Drosophila melanogaster: one gene and its partner. The protein of the gene in region 1 interacts with the protein of each later gene in a biochemical or structural test. Each region holds a gene or a part of one and is shown on either strand. Other genes may lie near its edges.

Evidence for each region. Proteins that work in one complex are often made in the same cells at the same time.
Region 2: of the proteins of Capa (region 1) and CapaR, one has a biochemical effect on the other in vitro, tested with the Drosophila melanogaster proteins (one study listed by BioGRID).

The regions. Positions count from the first base shown.
Region 1 is NT_033777.3:29,912,491-29,917,432, forward strand, and holds Capa (capability), read right to left. Parts: upstream 1,857-4,942; 5' UTR 1,768-1,856; coding exon 1,704-1,767; intron 1,113-1,703; coding exon 951-1,112; intron 881-950; coding exon 651-880; 3' UTR 501-650; downstream 1-500. Other genes in the region: CG31036 (uncharacterized protein), read left to right, coding at 1-291; trp (transient receptor potential), read right to left, coding at 2,106-3,062, 3,123-3,277, 3,337-3,497, 3,553-3,718, 3,930-4,149, 4,465-4,822, 4,884-4,942. UniProt on the Drosophila melanogaster protein: CAP-1 and CAP-2, but not CAP-3 are ligands for the Capa receptor. CAP-1 and CAP-2 are probably components of the signal transduction pathway that leads to Malpighian tubule fluid secretion via the second messenger nitric oxide.
Region 2 is NT_037436.4:21,557,723-21,564,239, forward strand, and holds CapaR (capability receptor), read right to left. Parts: upstream 4,460-6,517; 5' UTR 4,279-4,459; coding exon 4,069-4,278; intron 3,785-4,068; coding exon 3,634-3,784; intron 3,570-3,633; coding exon 3,479-3,569; intron 3,420-3,478; coding exon 3,220-3,419; intron 2,981-3,219; coding exon 2,807-2,980; intron 2,751-2,806; coding exon 2,676-2,750; intron 2,618-2,675; coding exon of another isoform or gene 2,613-2,617; coding exon 2,468-2,612; intron 2,414-2,467; coding exon 2,254-2,413; intron 2,175-2,253; coding exon 2,073-2,174; intron 1,585-2,072; coding exon 1,459-1,584; 3' UTR 1,252-1,458; downstream 1-1,251. Other genes in the region: CG7173 (uncharacterized protein), read right to left, coding at 1-38.

The DNA of each region.
Region 1 (4,942 bases):
CCTTCGGCGGAACCCAAGAGCTTAGCTGAACGTCCGGCAACCGCTCAGCCGGAGAAGACGTCCAAGTCGGCGCACTCGACGCAACCTCCGTCGCCTACTTACAGTGCCTGGGGAGGTGGGAGTATGTACAGCTCCCACTCCACCCTGAATCGTCCAGTGAGCGCAGGACCCTTCCAGAGGATGGAGGCCCGATTGGATGCGACTGCTCCATCGGGCAGTAGAACGGGAACTGCACCCCTTATCGAGGCCATACAGTCCGAGCTACGAAAGTTCAAGCAACAGCAGGAGTAGAGCCCACAACGGATGATCTTAGCCATGTCATGGCAATGGCGTATCATTCATGTCCGAACCAAAACTGTTTGCAATTCATTTAGAATAAACTTTTCTTAATACTCCAAAAGGAATCCCAGTTGTAACGCGGTACTTGAGCAGGCTACTTTATATGATTTATTATATTTACATACTTGAAATGGCAAGAAGGACACGCAAAGACATTAATTACAAGCTCTCACCAGCCCTTATTCATAATATATATTTGACCGAAAAACATATTTGCTGTATACCCGTTACAATATTCAATTAGAAGCGTTCTCTTTGATATACAAAAGTATCTACGACATTCAGAGTGTCAAAAGGGGGAGTCAGTGTGTCTAGTTGAGTTCCTTCTGTCCCTTGGAGATGTCCGCAAACGACTTGGCGTCCACACTGCGCTTTCCCAGCCGGGGACCGAACCACAATCCCGAGGAGGCGCTGGGTCCCGTGCGCTTGTCCAGCACCTGTTGCAGAGCCAGAAGGTGGGCCCACTTCCTCAGCTCGGCGTCACCGCGGCCAACGCGTGGGAAGGCCACCAGACCACTGGCTTTCTTTTGGAAATCAGCCTCTGGAATGGCACATGCGTCCCCGGGGCGTTAGGACCAATTAGTCAACCGTATCCGGCCGCAACGACTTACCATTGTAATCCTCCTGGGAGGCATCTCCGTAAATGCCGTCGAGGACTCCGGCCTCTAATCCGTCGCGCAGACTGTTGGCCAGACTGGGATCGCTGCGACCAACGCGCGGGAAGGCATAGAGCCCCATGTTGGCACCTCGTCGGTTCTTGTCGTGGTCCGTCTCTGAATGGAGTGTTTGGGGATTGCAATTTATTCAAATGTTCTCATCTTATTGTTCTTAAGTCTCCGTGGAATAAGCTATTTTCGTAGCCTAACCGCCAAAGTAACTCAAGTGACTTGAATATTTTTATTAAGGCTTTTTGTGATTAAAACCTTTTTTAAATTTGAATTATAGATTTAGAGTGCCACAACTATTTCTTTGATATTTAACTCTTCTTAAGTGGCTTTTATTATTTCAGCGGTTAGATTTGAAATCACCTTTTTGATTTAAAGAGCTTGATATAAAAAGACACTGTGTACGACTTAAATTGCATGCCTCTTCAAGAAGTGCTTTAAGTGTTAAAAAAAAAGTTAATAAAATAATAATAAACAACTTTTCTAAGTAGAACATTTTAATGAAAAATTGGAAAGGTCTTTTTACCATTACCTCTTTCTTTTAAAGGTGCTGCAAAATATTATTGAACATTATTAAAAAGCATTTAACTATTTTCACTTTAAAGTTAACAAAAGATAGCAGCAGCACTTAGTCGAGATAGACTAGTTTGTTGTTTAAGATTTCCTTAAAAGCGATTTTGTAATGTTTCCACCACTCACCAGCTGTACTGAATTCGGCGATTATGAAAATCACTAGAACTATGTGGACCAACATAGATTTCATATTTGCAAGACTATTTAGGACGAAACACTGGCTTGGCGAATATGTTTTTCGGTCTGATGTTATCCTCGGAACGGTCACGGTTCTTCTGATTCCTCTGGTCGAAGTTCACGTTCTTTTATAGGCCAGAAAAGCAGGCGGATGGATGGCAGACAAACAAATTGCCATCGGAACAACGGGGCGGATGATGAATGTTGCTGCGATGCAAATGAGATGTTGCTGGCAACAGGTGGCCTTTAGCAACAAGTTGCAGAAACGTGGTACTTGAGATTCTTTTTTTTTATTATTCACACAAACAAAGGACTTAACTATTTAATTGCTATGAAAGTGGATTCCGCGGCTTAGAGCCAGCCGGAGATCATGCGTCCTGTGACCGTGGATTTGCCTCGTTCTCCGCCAGCTGCGGCACTGCTCTGACCCACCTTGATCGCCGGCTTCAGAGGAGCTGCTGCTGGCTTCTTGTCCTTGTCATCGGCAGGCTTCTTGTCCTTATCATCGCTCGGCTTCTTGTCCTTGTCGTCACCCGGCTTCTTGTCCTTATCGTCTCCCGGCTTCTTGTCCTTGTCATCGGCTGGCTTCTTATCATTATTGTCAGCAGGTTTCTTGTCTTTGTCGTCGCCAGGTTTCTTGTCCTTATCGTCGCCGGGTTTCTTATCCTTGTCCTTGGCATCGTCTCCTGGCTTGGAGTCTCCTGCAGCCTTTTTTGGCTCCTCCGGACCGCTCTTCTTTTCGTCCGGCTTGGAGGCCCCATTGGTTGCCTTAGTTGCTTCTGGTGCTCCAGCTGCTCCAGGTTTCAGTTTGGAATCCGGCTTGGCATCCGAAGGAGCGGAGGGAGCTGCGCTCTTGGCTGCTCCATTTGTGGCTGCCGGCTTGCTAGCTTCGGTCTTGGAAGACTCCTCCTTTTTGGCAGCGGCCTCGGGCTTGGCGGATTCTCCAGGCTTCGGCGCAGCAGGCTTGGTGTCTCCAGGTTTGGTTGGTGGTGCCGGAGCGTCCTTCTTTTGTGACTCACCGGGCTTGCTGATAGTGCCAGCTGCTTGGGGCTTTGGAGCTCCCGCACCCGGAGTTGGCTTCTGATCCCCGGGCTTGGGACCACCTGCTGACGGCTTGGAGTCCTTGGGAGGCTGCTGCTTATCCTTATCATCACCTGCTTTCTTGTCATCCGTTGGCTTGCCCATCGTGCCGGGCTTGCCATCGGCTCCGGATTTTTCATCCACATTCTTAACCGATGCTCTTAGAGCAGCTGCAGCCAACATAGAAGCTCCTCCTCCAGTTCCACCACTAGTTATGGACTTTTTAGACTGCAAGTGAGATTATATATTAGCCAGGGAATACATATACATATATTGATTGGAACGTACCCCAGAGGCATCCAGTGGCTTCTTTTCGCCTTCGCCATTTGGAGCACCCTCGTCATCGGCCAAGGAAACCTCGTCGGCAGCCATCTTCTTCCGCATGAACTTGACATAAGCCACTCTTGTGGCACGCGTCACATCACCCAAGTTGGGATTGAATTCTGGAGGAGATCAAGGGTATGGAAATATACATACATTGGGCACATCTTTATTAATTTACCAATCAACTGGGTCTGGTTCATCTGAAGACCCTCATTCGCCTGCTCGATGATCTTCCTCCTCAAGCTTCGCTGGCTATGACGTTGCATGGAGGAGCGCTTGGAGCCAATGGGATCGGAGGCGAAAGTATTCTTCCTCGCAATGGCGTTCCAATCCTTGTCTCTGTTGAGAATAATAACCATTATTCAAAGCGTCTTACAGATTTAAGTGGACCTACCCCTTCTGGGTCTTCTTTCTGCCGATGACCTTGGCCAGCGATGAGAATATATCTCGTCCGCTCTCAGATTCGCTCATTTCCTGCTTCAGATTCTCGACGAAGCCGATTTGGAAGTCCTTAAGGATGCGACGTTCCATCACCTTGCCCTTGGTGGTTCGAGCAACTCCTTCAAAAGTAAGTTTAGTGAATAAAATCCATTAAAATCCATTCTAGCTTTGTAGTCTTCTAGCACAACATATTTCAAATTAATATTCAAGATGGGGTGAACTTTATTAGGTATTCAAAAGCTAATTGTAAATAATTATTCATATATACTGCTACTTCTATCTTAAGACACGTGTAAGTTGCCAATTTGGATGTGGGTAGGCTTCCCTTACCCTGCGACTTCTTCTCAATGTCGGGTACATCCCAGTTATTGTTGGTGAAAATCTCCAGCAACTCGAACCGCAAGGAGCTGATGTCCTGGCGCACCTCAATGATATCATCCTCGGTAATGCCGTAATCGTCCCGCCGCCTCTGCTCCGCCGTAATGTACCTCCTGACCAGCAGCTTCATCACTTTGTCATGCAGCGTCTGTGCCCGTTCCATGGACTTTCGCTGGGAGTTGGAACAGGGAGCATTAGAGGGTGGAAGGACACAGAAAGGATGTATTAGACGTCAATTTGACGCACAGATAGCTCTGCATGGGCTTGATTGAAAATGATTTCGCTTAAGATTTGTATTGATTGTGAGCCGCCTCTCACTGTGAGGTGATTCAACTTGAAAAAATCGAACTTTCGAAATGTTACTTACATTTAAAAGTAATATGATAAGAAATATCATTTAAAAGTAGAGTACACTGAATTTAATATATATGTGTGGATTTGTATAATACTTAAACTGAAATATTGAATTTCTCTGAGTGTAACTTACCATGAAGCTCTTGGTTCGTGACGGTCGCTTTCGGCCCAGGGTCTTCCTCAACATCTTCATGTTGGGACAGAGGTTGAAGGGCGGTGGAATGGTGCCGCCATCCTCGAAGTAGCTCATCCACAGCTGGGATCGGGCGAACTTCCACTCAGTGTCGGCTCGCTCCGAGATGATTTGGTAGGAGTTGGACATCATGGCAATCAGCATGTTGAGAAGCACAATGATGTTGATAACCGAATAGGAGCCGAACATTAGCAGTGCCCAGAAGCGGGTGAAGCTCTTGATTCCCGCCAGATCGAAGGAGACCAGGTCCACCAGGCCAAAAGAGGCCCAAAAGAGCGATTGTGATGTTTCGAATAAGCTAAAGTAAATTGAAATGGGATGCCAATATGATAAAGTACATAGAAATGAATGTAATATACTTGGAAAATCTTCGCCAGATGGTACAAGCCTTCTCCTGGTCATCAAAGTCAGCCACATC
Region 2 (6,517 bases), on another chromosome or scaffold:
TCCAAAATGGGGGCCAACTTAAGCGGACTCTGAGTCATTTTTAAAGCTCGTCTTCGTTCCACGACGGTCTATTGGTATTTGACATTTGTCAGTTCCGCGGCCAAAAGCAAAAAAGTTTCTTTCGAATTAACCACGCACACATGCGAAGCTTCTTTTCCATTCGACGATCCACGATCGCGCAGACTTGATCTCACTTTCTTTGTTATCCGGCCAGTCGTTTAAATAAAAATGGAACGCCTCGCGGCACTGCAGCCAAATACAATGTGGTGGCCTCGTCTCTGGGCCCAGATGCAGCTATCTATGTATATCTATTTAAAACCGACTTGGTTCGCCATATCAGCTTAAGATGGGCACTTTTTCTAGAGCCTGTGGTTCCAACGCCGCAGCACCGTTAATCAATGGAGGGTCTCGAGCATCCACATCCATCCGATTACTTTCTTCTTGAATTTCGGCGGTGCCGTCGGTTGGAAAGCAACTGAGTGGCAAATGGAACGTTTCTGAACTAGCTGTGCTGGAATTCGGAGTGTCGGAATGGCCACTAAACCAGTTTTGAGATGCTGCCTCTGCTGCCATAGAGGAGCTGCTGTGGATGTGGATGTGGATGTCGATGTCGATGTCGATGTTTTTGGATTTGGATGTGCATGTGGTGTCCACCGAGAGATCCCCGAGAGATCATATCGCGACACGAAGATGGAGCACTCGAGCCTCGGGGCACCGTGACATCGCTCCAGATGCGACAGAACCATTGGCCAGGTATGCTCATTAATCTGGCTATCTTGAGTGCTGGTGAAAGTAAATCGGAGATAAGATCTTTTGGAGACCTATGCGTAATTGGTTCGGAGTTCCTCAAACATCAGAGATTAATTTGCTTATACAGAATGCCAGATGGCTGGATGTCTGAGACTTGTGAATGCAGGGTTATTTACCTCATGTAAAAGTGAAAATGTTTTTAATTATAGATACTGGGATAATGGGTACAACTTTCGCTTTTGTCGTCAATTTGGCACTGCTTTTTCGAGAGAACAAGCCATGAAAACGATAATTTGGATCATTGTTATGCAAATCGCTCGAAACTGTAATCGTTCGTTAATGTATTCATTCATAAAAGCCCTGTTATTCCATAAAGTTTCAAATATCTCAGATTCTTTTGTGGCCAGTAAGTTTGTGAAAATGGAACTGATTACCTTTTTATGTATAAATAAATATTTATAAGGACCTAACACAATTAAAAAAAAACAACTCGGTAGCAATAAAACTCAGTTGGTTTATTTAGTAATATTATGAGATGTTGTAGAAATAAATAAATCTCCTTTGTGCGGGGGCACATTTGAATTTAGACAGACTCCCAGTCATATCACTAAATTCCCAATACGCAATTCTTAGCTCTTAAATTAGTTCTACAAAAGGTTGTTCTCGACGTCCTTGGCTTAAACTACAAATGTTGAAATGGCCTCGTGCTTAAATACAAGTCTCCTCGTTCTCGATCCAAATATCGTTCTCAACTTTGGGCTCCTCGCAAACTGTGTGGCTGTTTTCCAGCACGATGACAATGTCCGTGGTGCTCAGGACCGTGGAGTCCGCATTCTGGAAGTGCAAGGTCCAAAGTTAATATACACACGTGGAATACAAGCAGGTGAAAAGTAATGTAGTATTTATTCGCCCTGTATTTTACTATTTCACAAACTCAAACAATCACATACGAGCACTTTAATTCGCTCAACAGGCAATGTAAGGAAAAGTTATGTTCCCATGGGTATTTGTGTAAACAAAGCGAAATCAAGTTAAGCGGGGATGGAGCCGGAATACTAAGCAACTTCAGCATTGGGAATTACAAGGATACACAAATTGACGCAGAGTGAAATAACTTTTTAATTTGATTTATTCGCCCAGGTATCTTTGAGTTCCGAGAGTCCGGCGACACAGAAAAGTTTGGAAATAACTCTGGGATTTCCAGTTCAAAAGAATCTGCGCATCTGTAATAACTAAATTTATGCTAATTTACTACTATATCATACTCTAGGACACTATGCTATACTTCAATGAGTATTTATGATTTTGGTCTGTTTAATTACTTTTGGTAGCGGGAGGCTGTAGGTTTTCTTTATCAGCACCCTATTTGCAGATGAGGAGTCCGTTTCGAACTTATTTGGATGCTGGCTGGCTCTGACGTGAACCTATGGGGTAATTTGAGATAGAATAACCAAATTAGGTTAGGTTGGATTAAAATGTGCTTTCAATAACTTAATAACTTACAGAATGAACGCGGTCGTAGGCGGAGCTTTCCCGGAAACTGGAGTGATCCCTCGCAAATCCGCTGTTGTAATAGGCGCCCACGGCTTTTCCGCAGAGGAGTTCCCTGAACGCAACCCTGTAGCGACGTGACATCACACTGTACACTATTGGATTTACGGTGCTGTCAAGCCAGTTGAATCAGATAAATAAGTTAATAGAATTTGGGTTCATTTACCATGAAACGTAGTACGCAAATCCCGCAATCGAGAAGAGTGCCTCGTTTATGTCCAAATAGTTATCCATGTTCTTGGCATACAGGAATATGAGTCTTTGCAGGTGGAACGGGAACCAGCACACGAAAAACGTAATCACCACAGCAGCTATACTGATTAAACGGGGACTTTATTGATGGATTCTGTTGGGATTGATTGGGAAAAGCTCACCCAACATGCGAATAACCGTCTTCTTTCTCATTTGGGAGTTTCTCGTTTCCCTGTTGTTGGTGCCTTGTTGAACACCTGGAATACATCCCTGAAGTCGGATCTTTTGGGGTCAATAAAAGCCAGGTACTTGCCCAATTTTTGGTTCGTTCGAGATCGAATCTTGGCTCCCATTCGTCCGTAGAGCAAAATGATGAGTATCATCGGAATGACAAAGAAAATGCAAAAGGATACTTCGAACACGGGAATTTCGTTAACAATCTTGGGCGACATGGAACAGAATGCCGACTCCTCAATGCGGGAATGATCTGAAAAGCGCAACGAATGCCATTTATACCTGTTCATGTTATTTGGATATTATTCAAAGAATATACTTCAACCATTCATGGCTGTTGGATGGTGAAGTTCAGGTCGCTCGCAAAATTAAAGTCCATTTCAATTGATTTATAAGGTTTCAGCAATTTACTTCATTTGAGCAACTACTGACTCGAGCACCAAGCACCATTTTTGTACTGCTAGGGAACTTATGATGTAAATAGTTTCATACCTAATGGGTAGTTGAGGTATTGAATATCCGAGAGCAGTCCAAATGGAATGGCGCTTATAAAACTAACAATCCAAAGAGCTGTTATTATCCGAATCGCGCGCTTGAAGCCAACCATAGCATACAGGTGCAATGGATGGCAAATGGCCAGGAATCTCTCCATGGAAAATGCGACGATGGTAAAGACGGAGACATAGGTGCATCTGAAACACAGCTGGGTTTATAAATGGCTAAACGTGTAGTCAAAAGTAGTTATACTAACGCCTCTGAAATAAATGCGCGTATTTTGCAGAATGGCATGCCGAAGAGATCCGGATACTGATGCCAGTACAGAAACACTTCCGTTGGTAATCCTAGTTTTGTTTAAAACAGCATATTCAGTTAACTATATTTTCCTATTTTATTTAGTTAACCTACCAAATAGTAGGTACAGCAGATCTGAAACAGCTAGGCTGAACAGATAGTAATTGGTCGCCGTGTGCATTGCCGAGTGGCGAATAATCACAATGCACACTAAGAGATTACCAACGACCCCGGTTATAAATATGCCACCAAAAATAATTGTTATCTGGAAAAGGTTTAAGCAAACAGAATGATCGCTTTATCAATTTAAAACCTTAGATTAAAGCAAGCAAATTGCAGAGCCGATTCACCAATATCCATGTGTATTTAGCCTAGGTATGTACAAGTATAAATGGCTGTATAAAAGTTTTAATTTAATATCTTGGATGAGGAATGATATTTGTTGACTATTGAGTATGACTCACAACAGGCAATAAGAAAAGTTATTTGATTTTAAGCTTTGATTACAAGTAAAACTGGTAAAAATTAATCCACTTCCAGAAGACTTACCAAAACTGCCTTGTAAAGTGGTAAGGTCTGTGGTCCAAGCACAAAGGCCACAAACTCTTTTGGAGAGCAGTTAAAGGTGCCGCAGGCATAGTCCTCCTCTCCAAATCCATGGGATGGATCCGAACTAACACTAGTGGCGAATAGGGTATCTGGGGTATTTGTGAAACTTGCGTTTAACTCGGAAAATGTCGGATCGGTCGATGAATTCATTTTAGCCCAGAGCTGAATGTTTTTGTTTATTTCGTGTAAAATTTTTAACGGCCGCCACGGAACTTAGAATAGCACATGGCACACGACAATTGGCGTTTGAATTTTTATGGATAGCGAAAAATCTGCGATGCGCTATCGTATAATACAGCCACTGTATCTTTTAGATGGCCACAGATTACTGTCCGCAGTCTACCGCTAAAAAGATAAGAAGGCATGGTTTAGGCTAAATTGTAAATAGACACATACATATACATATGGGCATATATGTATAAACACCATGTACATTTATATATATATATATGTGGCCAAGTTAAATATATAGATATGGCATGTTCATGCCGCAGAATGAGTAATTAGACCCGCAACTCGTTGGGCAGAAGGGTATGCTAGATTCGTTGAACAGTATGTAACAGTTAGTAGGAAGAGTTTATCATAAACTTTTCTTATACAGTAGTTGATCAGGATCACACTAGCCGCATCGGTCTCAAAGTGTCCGTATGTCTGCCCGTATGTCCGTATAAAAGCTAGAAAGTTGATACTAAGAATGCAATTCGATGTGTCTCCTTCTCTGTGTCAATTAGAACGTTGTCCAAAAGACGTCTCTATATGCTGTCCCACCCACAATTTTAACACTAGTTTTTATGATTTTTGATTTAACTATTTAAATGGTTAATTTTTAAATTTCTAGCTCACAGCTCACCAGGTATCTGATAGTCGTGGAACACGATTACGACGCTTTCTTGGGTTTTTTTTTGTTTACGTCAAAAACAACAAAAATTTAATCTTTAATTAGTAGTAGATAAGTAGATCAGATGTTAAATAAACGAAACGAACACTACGAAATTCGAAAGTTTTCGAAGTTTAAGTTAAAAATTTCCTCTGCTAACCTTTACTATATGAAATAGGAATAGTGCACTAATTGTTTTATATATCTTTCAATGTTGTAACATTAAAGTTCCTTTTGTTCTTGTTGGAGAAACAAAAAGCGCTTTATCTTTTCAAGGCGGCCTGCGTGGGAAATTTAAATTATTGTATGACGACGGCGTCCGAAAATCTTCTTAACTTAAATTGAAATGTCAACAAGCATAAATTATCAACTCGGGGAGAAGGTGAAAGACAACACCTAACCCCCCCCCCCCCCCACAAAGGTTTTATTACCTCGCATAGGCAGGCACTTTAAAATAAAAGAAGCCTGAATAAAACATGGGTCATTGTTTGAATGGACAGATGCCTTCTTATCACCTGGCACACACCACATTAAATTAATTCTTGTGTACATTTAGCGATGTACTACTTAATTGCTATCAGTTCATTTTGTGCGCTGATTAGTCAAACAATTAGCTGAGCACCTGGAAATTCATGTGCAATGCTCTATTAATAACTAATCTTTAAAAGCCACCCACAACCTTAAAGCCTTGAGTATTATAACTTAGACCGAATTAAATTTGAAGTGGCATGCCCACAGGTATTTAGTTATATTGTGGTTGCCGGTGTCGACTGTAGCATCTTGGCCGGATTTATTAAGCCAGTTTGAATGGGGCTAACAATGGATTACTCATAAATGCGAATACTCGCAACCAGAAAAGTTTGCATGGCTGTTGGCCACAGATTCATCATTATTACGTACATGTCGCCGAGCCAAACTCGACTCGGCACATCGAGACATTTTGGCCTAGCGAAGCGAACTATAGAATTTTACGCACTTGCAAACTTTCAACTAAGTGTGCTCAGTCGTGAATTTAATTTTGACGAAATGCGCAAACAGGAAGCCACATGTGTAATTAGGAGGCCAACTTGGGGAACGACTGTCTACAGATAGTAATAATCATAATAATCATTTGGAGCAGCCTCCCAGTTCGCAAGCAGTACGGTAACTAGAAATCCAGTAAATCAGTTATCTGCCTACTTAGACCCAGGAGAGCCCAGGAGTAGCTCCCCCATGCCACCCAATCCAGTCCAGCATCTGGTCATTAGGGACACTTAGGCGGTGACCAAGCCCCCCGGTGACCCCAGAACGAAGTGCCAGGCCACGTGTTGCTAATTACTTGGGTGCCGAAACCCACAAGATGGCACATATATTCATGTGTGTGTGCGCAACAGAAGTCAAGTGTCGCCTCAAGTTGAATATAATTATGTATGGACATCTGGGAGTTTTCATGGTATTTTGTACCGAGCCACTTGCTTTTATTGGATTTATTGAGTGCAGATGGAGTTGAATAAGTAAGAAGTGTTCTATTAT